Drosophila melanogaster: one gene and its partner. The protein of the gene in region 2 interacts with the protein of the main gene of each other region in a pairwise test. Each region holds a gene or a part of one and is shown on either strand. Other genes may lie near its edges.

The links. Proteins that work in one complex are often made in the same cells at the same time.
Region 1: the proteins of Syx18 (region 2) and CG11601 interact in a two-hybrid assay, tested with the Drosophila melanogaster proteins (one large-scale study listed by BioGRID).

Annotation. Positions count from the first base shown.
Region 1 is NT_033779.5:280,627-286,303, reverse strand, and holds CG11601 (uncharacterized protein), read left to right. Parts: upstream 1-3,108; 5' UTR 3,109-3,156; coding exon 3,157-3,650; intron 3,651-3,798; coding exon 3,799-4,132; 3' UTR 4,133-4,634; downstream 4,635-5,677. Other genes in the region: CG3625 (uncharacterized protein), read left to right, coding at 671-871, 1,336-1,556, 2,094-2,418; smo (smoothened), read right to left, coding at 4,790-5,677.
Region 2 is NT_033777.3:24,623,225-24,629,138, forward strand, and holds Syx18 (syntaxin 18), read right to left. Parts: upstream 2,339-5,914; 5' UTR 2,250-2,338; coding exon 1,251-2,249; intron 932-1,250; coding exon 743-931; 3' UTR 578-742; downstream 1-577. Other genes in the region: wsck, read right to left, coding at 4,152-5,438, 5,492-5,848, 5,911-5,914.

The DNA of each region.
Region 1 (5,677 bases), on a different chromosome or scaffold from region 2:
AGCCGATGCGTTCATATCGAAAATCTCTACACCGGTTAAACGAAGGCGATGCATAACTGGTTTTTGATTTGTAATGGTCTGATGTTCTAGTTCGATCCCATACACTCAAATCTAATCGCTTGTAGTCAGTAAAGATACCTTTGGCCTAGAACAATGTATTTTGATACAACCTGAATGATATGTGGCTTCATACGGTAGACGAGAGTGAATATTTTAGATTTCGTTCATGATTATCGTCAAAGAATTGACTTCAACATCAATTTCTGAATGGTTTTGAAGAAAATAATATTTTCATAAAATTACATCACGAATTTATAAATTAAAAACAAAAAATTCATACAAATTCAACAAAGCTAGTCACAATTTAAAATGAATCCACATCTTCACAGATGTATTCAGCCCACAATCAAAATGTTAAAACTTTAGCTCATATTAAATCTCGATGTAGCTTACAACCCTACAAGGGGGTACATACATATATGTGTATATCCGAACACCTGGTATTGCGGCCCTGCTTCGGCTCGGGCACACTGTTCCACCGCTCGCCCCTTTTTTTGGGGTGGTTCCGACTCGCAAGCAGTAGTACTTTCGGAGCGACAGACCAGACCGGTTTGTTTGTGTTTTGGTGCCGTGAAAAATCAATCGAGAGCAGAGCAGCTGCAGCAGGAAAATGGCATCCGTGCGAGGCAACTCCGTGTACCAGGGCGTCTACGGGGCTCTGAGGACCCTGCTCCACCTGACGGCAGTCGTGCAATTTGGCTACGGCATCTATTACGACTACAACTACGTGCAGTTCCCCACCAGCGAGCCAGAGATGAGGATCCATCATCCCTGGGGGGGCAAATTCAAATACCTAACGTTCCTGGATGCGGTAATATCCATCTCCCATTAGAATCACGAACGCAGCGTGGTTTAAAGTTCACTCCGATTGTTACTTGTACGCACGCATCTATTAAGATACACAGAGAAAATGAATAGGACAGTAGTTAGAATCATGGGCTTTTCTTGAGTGATGAAGAGGATTTGTCAAGGTCTCCAGTGTATAAAAGTTAGAGCTTTTTGAAGATCTTATATGGAGAACTTTCGCTAAAGCAGTTTTTACAATAAATATATATATATACCATTCCACTGCAAAGCAACTAATTGAATCCCTCCAAATTCAGTGCTTTACTAACAAACTCACATCTCGCCTCCTATTGTCGCTGAAATTGTACAGGAAATGCTTGTGCAACGTTTTTTCGCTAACTGTAATTCCTTCCACTTCACTTAAGCAACCCTTCAAATCTAGCCGCTTTCGCATTATCTCACACACGTCAAATGCTCTTGCACTTACAGATAATTCAGGCACTGTACTATATTGTATCGCTGGTCAACGATTTCGTGGGCACTAATGAGCTGACACCCAAGAAACCTCCGGCGGTTCGCAGGTTCAAGGACTGGCTGATGGCTACATTGGCCTTTCCAGTGGCTATCAATGTGGGCGTGACCTTCTGGACACTGTACGCTATCGACAGGGAGCTAGTCTTCCCCAAGGTTCTGGACCCCGTGTTCCCCAGGTAAGACCTCGAAAGCTGGTGATATCAAGGTGGCCTGGCTGGCATAAGGCATATTCTGCTCAACAAATTGAATCATGACCAGATTAGCATTCTAAGCATGTCTAATTCAAGCCATATCCATTTTCTATACCACTGACATGCCTATTTACGGTATTGTGTTAATTGTGTTTCTTTATATCCAGGCTTTTTAAGTTCGATTTAATTGGAACTATATCTTTCAATTATATATATATCCTAACAAGTACTCATACATTTGAAGGAATTAGATCAACGTTTTTCCTTTCATTTCAGTAATAAACCATCTTCATAAAATGCTACTTAGACACTAAACCTTAAGACCCTATAATCTCGTTTTGGGGCTCTGGTTTTACTTTCAAAGTAATTAATTTATTCAGATAGCTTGCTACGACAAAGCTTGAAAGATGTGTACGTCATAATATATTTAGGGATAAAATTAAAAAAGTGGTCTGAAAAGTCTTGATTTCACCCATTGTTTTTTCATGACACTCTGATAATATCTTCGCTCGACTCTTTCAGCTGGCTCAACCACGTCCTGCACACCAACATAGTGGTTTTCATCATCCTGGAGCTGTTCATCTCGTACAGGTCGTACCCAAAACGAAGCCAAGGACTCGCAGGACTGGCCATTTTCATGGGCGCCTACCTGGTTTGGATTCACGTGGTGAAGCACTACTCGGGTGTGTGGGTGTATCCAGTGCTCGAGGTTCTCCAGCTTCCGCAACGCATCCTGTTTTTTGCGGCCGTCGTTGGATTCACGCTGTCACTTTACCTGCTGGGCGAGTTCCTCAACAATACCGTCTGGGCCAAGGAAGTGAAGTTGGCCAAGCGCAAATCCAACTAGGAGGCTGTGACCCGTTTCTGTTCGATGTAGTTGCGTTAATTAGCCACAAAATACAAATAGTGATTGACAGGTCTCGATTATACATTTTGCTCATATTGTTCGATCTTCTCAGCCAAAGAAATTTTTCATAAGTATGTAAAATCGTACTGCAAAGTTAACTGAAGAAGGCGTACAAAATATGTGAGAAATAATAAACGAAACTTGAAACATCAACTCGATAATATATTTTCCAGTAATATTGAATTCGGAGTCTTTAATCATAATATGGAAACCCGTTTGCTAATGATATTCATTATATTTTTATTACGCATACATTGTAACTGAAATTATAGCCGTAGTTTCCATTGAGCGCGCGCGTCTTTCGATAAGTTTACTAGACTAACCAAAATACAAAAATGCCTTCTCGATTAAACTTCTCATATCAAGCACACTGATTCAACGCCATCTTTGAATACCACTGTTATTCAATTCTAGTACCATAATAAAGCGATTAAACTCTTCATCAGCTGCGAAAACTGTTTTAAGGTGGGAAGCTTGGAATAAACTGCTTTTCAAGATCAGAGAAACGTCAAGTGGCGCTATCATATCGATTTGGCTTTAAAAAGCTAGTTCTAGCTTAAAAACGCCTCCTTGCTGGAATGAAACTCGACGTGTGTTGCGCCCTAATCAGCTGTTGGCTAGCTTTATTTGTTTTGTTTTGCTCAGCGTGCGGTGCCCTTTGCACCTTTTCTGGAGGAAATGGGCAAGAGCAAGAAGCAGGTGCGCGAGTTCAACGCCGCCAAGGAAGCTGTCGAGGCCACTAAAGCCCAGTTGAACACTTGCAACGATGCCTATACGAGCGGTGCCTTCAAATACCTGAGATTCCTGGTCCATCTCCTGGCGGCAGCGCAGTTTTCGTATGGGATATACTTTCACTACTTCCGGGTGCATTGGCCCACGGATTTGCTAGACGAGGATGAACTGAAGGCGCGGTGGGGCGGCAAGTTCAAGTACCTTACCTTCTTGGACGTCATTCTACAGGCCATCTACCACTCATTGGCTCTGCTGAACGATCTCTTCGGCGATAACAATGTCTCCGGGGATTCAAAATCCATGTTGCGATCGGTGAGGGACTATGTGTTCGCCGCCTTTGCCTTTCCTGTCGCCCACAATGTCTGCCTCTCGTTTTGGGTCATCTACGTGTGGGACCGTGAGCTCATCTTTCCCTCAGCGCTGGATGCGATTTTCCCCAGGCAAGTGTTTATGTTTTTCCGCCGGTTTAACTTGCGTACAATGCACAATGTTAGTCTGCTGGAGTCTCTTTTGTTTCGAGCCTGTCTAAACTTTCTGTTCATCAGGCGAGGCGAGTTTTGATTTACCTGTGTTTCTCAATATTTGCAGCTGGTTGAATCACGTGGTACACACGAATGTGGCCCTTTTGGCCATTATGGACCTGTTTACCTGCTTCCGCCGCTATCCGAGTCGATTGGCAGGCATCACGGGCAACGTCTCCTTCATCCTGCTTTACATCATCTGGCTGCACATTGTTCGCTACTTCAGTGGCGAGTGGGTGTATCCCATTCTGGAAGTGCTGCCCGCATACCTGCGCTACGTGTTCTTGGCACTACTTGTGGGGTTCAACCTGGTTTGCTATCTGCTCGGGGAGTTCGCCAACAACGTCGTTTGGGGTCCGGAGTTTAAGCTCCTAAATCAACAGAAATTAAAGCAAGGCTAGGACTCGAGGATTTAAAATCGTTTATTAGTTACACAAATTATTATGTATAATTTTGTAAACTTGAAGGCACTTTCTGAGGTACGATTTGTGTGCCCAAGAGGCTTATTTATATCGTACTTAAATCTATAATCTACAATCTAAAGTCCTGTACCCACGGCAAAGAAAAATAATGAAAATAAATTATTATCCTCTTTGGCATTTACTTTGGCGTGAGTACCAGGATTAAGGAAACAGTCATTCACAAACGTACACAGAGATTCGAATGCTTACAAGCTAGATGGGGTGATGAATCTGTAAAATAAAGTTGCAGCCTAATGACTATGAGTATTCGTAATTCGTAGTTCTAGTTTCGCTCAGTCTGTTCCAGTAATCGATTAAGAAGAATCTAAATGTTCATCGCATGTAAACTGCTCTGGCTTGTGTACTACAATTTCGTATTTGTTTGTTTTAAATATCATTTGGGTTTCCAATTCTAGTGAAGCGATATATTCTTATAAATCGTTGAACAGTGAACATAACAATATTACGATTTCGTAAAATAGATAAGATTGTACGATTATTTTCAGCGCTAACAATTTGATTTCTTAGAACAAAAACTACAATATTGTAAGAGTTTTTGAACCTTAAGTAAATGCATCAATTGCTTATTTAGTCTTGCTATTTTGAAGGCAGCAATAACATTTTGAGTTTGTCCGACTCGCTCATAAACGTGGGCTCCCTTTGATGCCGATGGGAATGACCCAACAAGCCCTGCAGCTCCGTTCCTCCGAAATCCTCATTGGCTGCTTCAGTTCTTTGTCTGCTGGCTGCGTTTAGGAGTCGCATGGCCTGCTGCAGTTCGTCTTCTCCGTAACTGGGAACTAGCTCGAAAGGATTAGCCTGTATGCCCACATCGCAGCTGGTTTTGCTGTTTCTACTATGTGGTTTGCCCATGGATATTCCAGAAAAAGAGCTGTTAAGAAGGCTTCCTACGTCCAAAGCCACATCCAGCTCTTCAGAGGAGCAGCTAAGTGAGTCATTAGACCGATACTTTACACAGTCCTTCCTGAAATCTAGATCAGCAGCAGGGTTCTTGAGATGTCTCTTTTGGGACTTTTTTGACTGACTTCTTGCGGAATTTCGGGAATGTCGGTTAGAATTGGATTCATTAGATTTTTTTATGTTTTTAAGAAAGTTCTCCAATGCCACCTGTTTGCTATTTGGCAGTTCTTCAATCTTTATTCCGTCGTGATCATCCTCACTTATTTCCTGCTGCTTTACAACCACGTTAAGATCCTGAATCTTTTGGGATGCTCTGGAATTATCCTCCTCCGAACTAGAGCTCATATCTTGATTTTGGAGGAATGGGAATATAAAATCGCCATTTTTCTGCAGGAATTCATTAAGAATAGAGGGATCCAATCCGGCATTAGCAGTCCTTCGCTTCATGGAGCTGGTGTAATTGTGTTGTTTCTTGGAGCTGTGATGAGCAAACACGCCCACTTTGTGACTAGCATTGGGATAGGTCGTTTTCTTGAGCGCGATGACCTGCGACTCCACTGAAGT
Region 2 (5,914 bases):
ACAAAAAACCTAGCCAAATAATATCGGCGCCTTCCTACACTATTACCACACTCCGTGGGGAATAGCTTCCATTTATCCCATTGGAGAGCCAATCATTAAGTAACTCTTAACTCTTATTCTAAACAATATGAAAAGAAAACAAAAGAACCAGCAGACTGCATTGAATGCAATCCCATATTGCACTAAAAACAAAAGAACACCTAGCGACTAAGCCAAGGATACACTCCCTCAGACACAAATCTTAAGGCTACAAAATATTAGACCTAAGCTAGTTAGAATCTAGACATTCATGTAATGAAACCAACTGAAAGAAATACGCAAAGGTTAACTTTAGGCCTTAGACATATATATACATATACATACTTATTGCTGATTTCCGTTCCCAGTTAGATATATATATATATTTTTTTGAAGAGCGTTTAATGAAAATAATATGACTAAGGACCTAGATATAAACAATGTACCAAGCAACACACTAAAACACATTTTGGTGTAGAATTTAAATTAACTACTGAGACATGTGTGAGCAAGGCGCTCAAATCGATTTTAGTTCCATATTGTTGTACGAGGTTTCATTGAATTGAAACAAGGCAGTTGAATAGCCTAAACAAATATTTTCCTTTTATTTATAAATTATGTAATAAACAAAATATGCTTTTAGTGCGATCAAACGATAACAAAACATTTTTGCATTTATCATTCCCTAAATTGGGTGGGTTACACATAAATTTGGGGACTTCACTTAATCGTAGTACCAGTCCAAGAAGAGCAGGGAGAACGACATGACCAGCAGGAAGAACAGCGACCACACGCGTAGTCCTGCATTTCGTTGAGTGGCCTGCCGGATTTGCTCGTTGGCGTCCTTGACGTTTTCCGTGGTGCCCACGACGGCACTAACTATCCTGTCGATATTGTGCTGTTGCATGGCGACCTACAAAAGGGAAAGGGAAATTTAAGAGGATTAAATGAGATTAGGACGTGGATCTATCTGGATCTAGTTAATAATTAATTGCATGCTAATAAGAGCCCGGCTTATACATCCATTGTAATCGCGAAGGATGTGGATTTTAGCGAAGCCAATTAATATTTTTAATTGAAGGATTAAGTCGACAAACATATGGGCAGCCACTTAAACCCACTAAGTATTCTTGGCAATATGGAGCAATATGTTCTCACCAAAATTAAACTAAAGATATCGTTGTTAAGAACAGCAAGGATTCCTTGGGACTTGTGTTATCATGCCATCTTACCTTTTCGGTGAAAATGTCCTGCAGTTGGGCAATGTCTACCACGTTCTTTTCGATCTGCTCCACCTCCTCGGAGACGCCCTGCAGAAAGTTGTAGATGTGTACGTTCTCCGCCTCGAAGAGCTGCACATCCTCGGCGCTTAGGGGATCGTCATCGTCGGCCTCCTGCTGCTGCTGGAGCTCCTCATCCAGAGCCATCTTGGAGGATGAGTTGTTCAGATCCGATCTGTTGGCTTTGCTTCGTTTGCGCGTACGCGGTTTGTGTTGATTGGCCTGATTGGCTTCCTTGCCCTTCTCGCCATCGTGATCGTCCACCTCGTCGCCTTCCTCGTCTTCATCCCAGTCGCCCCAGGCGTCGTTATTCCAGTCATTGTCGGCGGACTCGTCGTGGTTGCCATTTGCTTGTGAAGATGACTTCGTGGCTTCGCTGTCATCGTTGCTGACCTGGCGCCTGCCCAGCTTGCCACTGTTGCTGCCCGCCGGACGCACTGGTATCTTCTTTTTGTCCGCCGCCAGCTTGAGCAGCCTATAGGTTTCCAGTTCGTGTTGCACACGGTACTTCTTTTGGTCCAGATAGATCTGTTCCACGCTGTGCAAATAGCTGACCAGCAGGTCCAGCACGGCGTCGATGTGCTGACGCTCCTGCGGCTTCCGCTTGGCGCTCTTCCAATCGCTGCGCATCTTGGCCAGGTGCTGCGTGTAAAAGGTGACGAACTTCTCCGACTCGCGATCAATCAGATCCCGCTGCGCGTCGGTCATGTGTGCGGCGGACTTGAGGTGCTGGCCAATGCGCATGTAGGCGGTGCGGTTCTCGATCAGCACATTGCGCAGCGAAGTGATCTTGTTGCACACCTCCTTGGCCTGCTTGGCGAAGTCATCCTTTGGGCCAATTGGTCCAGTTTTTGTCGGCACTGTGGCGGGCTTGGCCTTTCCGGCCAGCTCGGCCTTGCGCTGCAGGCGCACCGTCATTACGCTGGCCTTGAAGCTCTGGGTGATGTCCATAGCTATTTGCTATAACTAAGTTTGAAATATTTAACTTTTAAATCCACATCATCGGTCCAACACAATGTGGCCGTTCGTTTAACCGTTTGCAGTGTGACCTTATGATGACCGTTAATATATACCAGTTAGCTAATACTAAAAATAGCTAAATGTTATCGATAAGCATTTCAGTGTTGGCTAATGAATTTTCACCCCCACACTTATAGGTGATTTTTCGCCCAACGGTGTACGGTCACACCATTGGCAGAGCACAAACAAAATACGTACTTTTCTGCTTCCAAAGTGTCGAAAAATCGCAGCGCAGTGAAGTCCAGTGTCCGATGTAAATGGTTAAGTAAAGTGAGTAACAAAGGCCGACACAGAAGCCGCATTATTTGCGCAGTTAGCCGACCATTTGGTAGTGTGCGTGAGTGGCTCCGTCGCAGTGCGTTGGTGTGCGTGTGTGAGCAACCAGTTTCCTTGGATTCCTCATAATCTCCATGTGTGTATATGTAACAAAAACAATAACAATTTAACCAGGCGAATGCAAAACACTCGCAAAGTTGGCCAATACCGGATGAACCTCATCATCATCATCATCTTCCACATATTCATGAGCATGGTCGGCAGTCGAAGCCCCTGAATTCCGATAGCAGCCATTCAGCTCGATTTATTAATAATAATTGCCCATTTGCTCGGAATGTATACACATTTCAGTGACTTCAATTGTTCGTCGTCATTTCACCTTGAATTGCGGGCAAGGTAAGCGTCCAAAAGTCGCTATGGATATCGTTGCGCTTCATTTACCGTATTTACCATATACTCTATAAGAAAGTCGCTCTAAATTCCGGGTGAGCCATGTGCTTTGGGTTTTTTGGTGGATCCAATAGTTACACGTCGACAAGAGAAACAATGGCTTATCTTCTTTGGGAAGGATCCCGAGATAAGCTTGTACATAGTGAGAAATTTTAAGTACTGATAACGAATTTTGAACATTTCATTTGAAAAGTGCATATCGGAAGAATATACACAGATTTAGATTTTTTTTTTTTTTTTGCTATGTAGCTTCATTATAAGATGATTGTCCAAACCAATGGAATATACATACATAAAGTGCCCTACTATTTCGGATGACTAATAATGCATGTAACCGCATCTAGGCTGCTGCCAACAATTTCCCTAATTAATTCTTAAACAACATAACAAACAATAGATGCAATGCAAGACCTTTAAACTGATTAATCGTCAATTTTGATCCACTCACACTTAAGCAACACCGCCGTTTATTTTCTATTATTAATTGCTGCTCGCCAGCGATCAAAGTTTCGCATTCGCGGCTCTCTCCCTTGGTTTTTTTTTTGCTTTTAGTTTTCGCTTTTGTCTGGTTTGTGCAACATCAGCGATCGGCGGGGGAATCACAGTCGCTGGTCTGTTGGTAGATCCATTCGCTATGGATCCCTCAATTTATTACACAATTTTGGGGGCCAGACTGTCAGTAGTCTTTTATCTATCGCGCTCTCCATCGAGCACGTTCGCTTGAACTTTGTTTCGCGTGGGGGAAAGTCGATTCCTTTCTTTCGGGTTGTAGATAAGCAATTAACTACCTTATAGATCTGATAAGCTCTGGCATAGAACACTCTTTTATTTGTAGGAAGTTTGTGCGTATTAACAATAAACATCGAATTGTGTTTCATAAATGCTCACTTCTAATATTATATGGATAATAACAATTTATGAGCTTTATTAAATCAATGTGTAAATTCTAAAACAAATTATTTTCTCTTCAGAACACTGAAAGTGAACTCATCTAAAATCGAAATGAAGTGATGTTTTCTCTTAGCAGCAGTGACTCAGAACCGAAATCTACTCTATGCGAATGTGGTCTCTCGCTGACTAAAGCTAATTATACTATTCGGCTGCACCTCAGCCCATCGTAGCAACGGCTTCCAGTTGCGGCAGGTACGGAGGCAGGGTGTCTAGTCCGCCGGCCACTCGATCAAAGCTGAGGGCATGACGCGGTGAGGTCATCAGCTGACGTACTCCGAAGGCCACGTCCTCACAGCTGCTCCGCTCGCTCGGCTCCAGCTGCCAGCAGTTGAGCAGCAGCTGGTAGAGATCCCCGTAGACGTAGGCTGGCTGCGCCGGACGCACTGCAGCCCGAATGGCCTCTAGAAGCTGTTGGTTACTTGCCACTGCATTGGCATAGGGAGTACCGCCAAGGGCACAGCATTCCCACGCCACGCAGGCCAGGGACCAGACATCAGAACGGGTGGAATGGTGATGCTGATGGCGCAGCACCTCCGGGGCCAGCCACCGGTTGTGGTCTGGCTGCTGGCGAGCAATGTTCATGTAGGGCAGCGGTCCAAAGACGCTCAGTTTTAGCTTGAAATCGCTGGTAACGAAGACGCTGTGCGAGCAGAGCTGTCGATGCACCACCTGGCAGCTGGATAGATAATTCATGGCACTGGCAAGCTCGTAGATCCACTGCAGCACTAGCTGCTCAGAGAGGGAAGTCAAGCGTGGCGACGGTGCCATCAGGCGACTCTCCACCAGTTTTCTCTTTAGACTCATGCGTTGCTGCTCGAAGATTAGGTAGAACCAATCGGGACTTGCTGATACTCCATAGAAATCTAGCAAATGCTCCTGGCGCTTCAATTGAGACAACTGACGTAGTTCTCTCAGCAACTGTGCCTGTGTAGTACCATTCAGATCGTCCAGACAGAGCACGTGCAGGGTGCAATCTCTGGCAAAATCGTTTGTGGAAACCTTTCCGGTTATAATCTCACCAAAGCGTCCGTCTCCGATCACATCGTTCACATTTAGTCGTAGTGCATTCCTTGGTATCCGTTCGTATCCTTCCACCAACTGTTGCAACTGCTGCTTGAAGTTTTCCGGCGAGTGTGGCAGTGGATCGTCCTCCACAAGGTATCCGTTATTTTCCCGCTCGATTATGGGCGTTTGCAGCGTCATCTCGTGCGTATTGCCACCAGTCAATCGTCGCCCGCGGCAGGTCTTGTAGCGCAGATAGAAGTAGGCAATAAGACTGAGCAGGAGGCAGGAGCCGAAGATCACACAGGTGACAGCTAGGGCAACCACCGAGGATTGACCCTTCTCAAAGGTGGCGTAACTAAAGTCGTCTAGGGATGTCACATGCTGGTCGTGAGTTCCACGACTGTACATCGTCTTGGTAACGCCCTCCAGTGTGCTCACCTAGAATATAAATAGTTACAGAGATATTCATTCGAATTTAATGCATTACTCACCAATCCGAGACTGATGTGGACATGTGCATCTGGTTGATCCAACGGCTTATTGGTAAATCGTCCGTAACGCTTGCCATCGCCGACCACAAAGCGCCGGGTGCGATTGTCCTCCGGTCGATCGTAGTCCAATTCGGCGGCTATGTAGTAGGGCACTCCATCTTGTTGAGCCTGCTGCCAGCTGCCCAGGAGCTGGGCATCGAATGGCTGACTCAGGGCGTTGTCCACGTATTCCACGATGACGAGCAGTTTGCTCAGCGGTCCATTGTCATTCCGAATGGGCGACAACTCGATGGTTACAGTGCGGTCAGTCCGGCTGAGGATTTTCGGCTGTGCTGGCACGGGACTTGGAAGGCCCACCTGAAATTTGGAGTAGTAATGTTATTGGTTAGGATTCTCGTTAGAATTCAAGCATTACCAACCTCC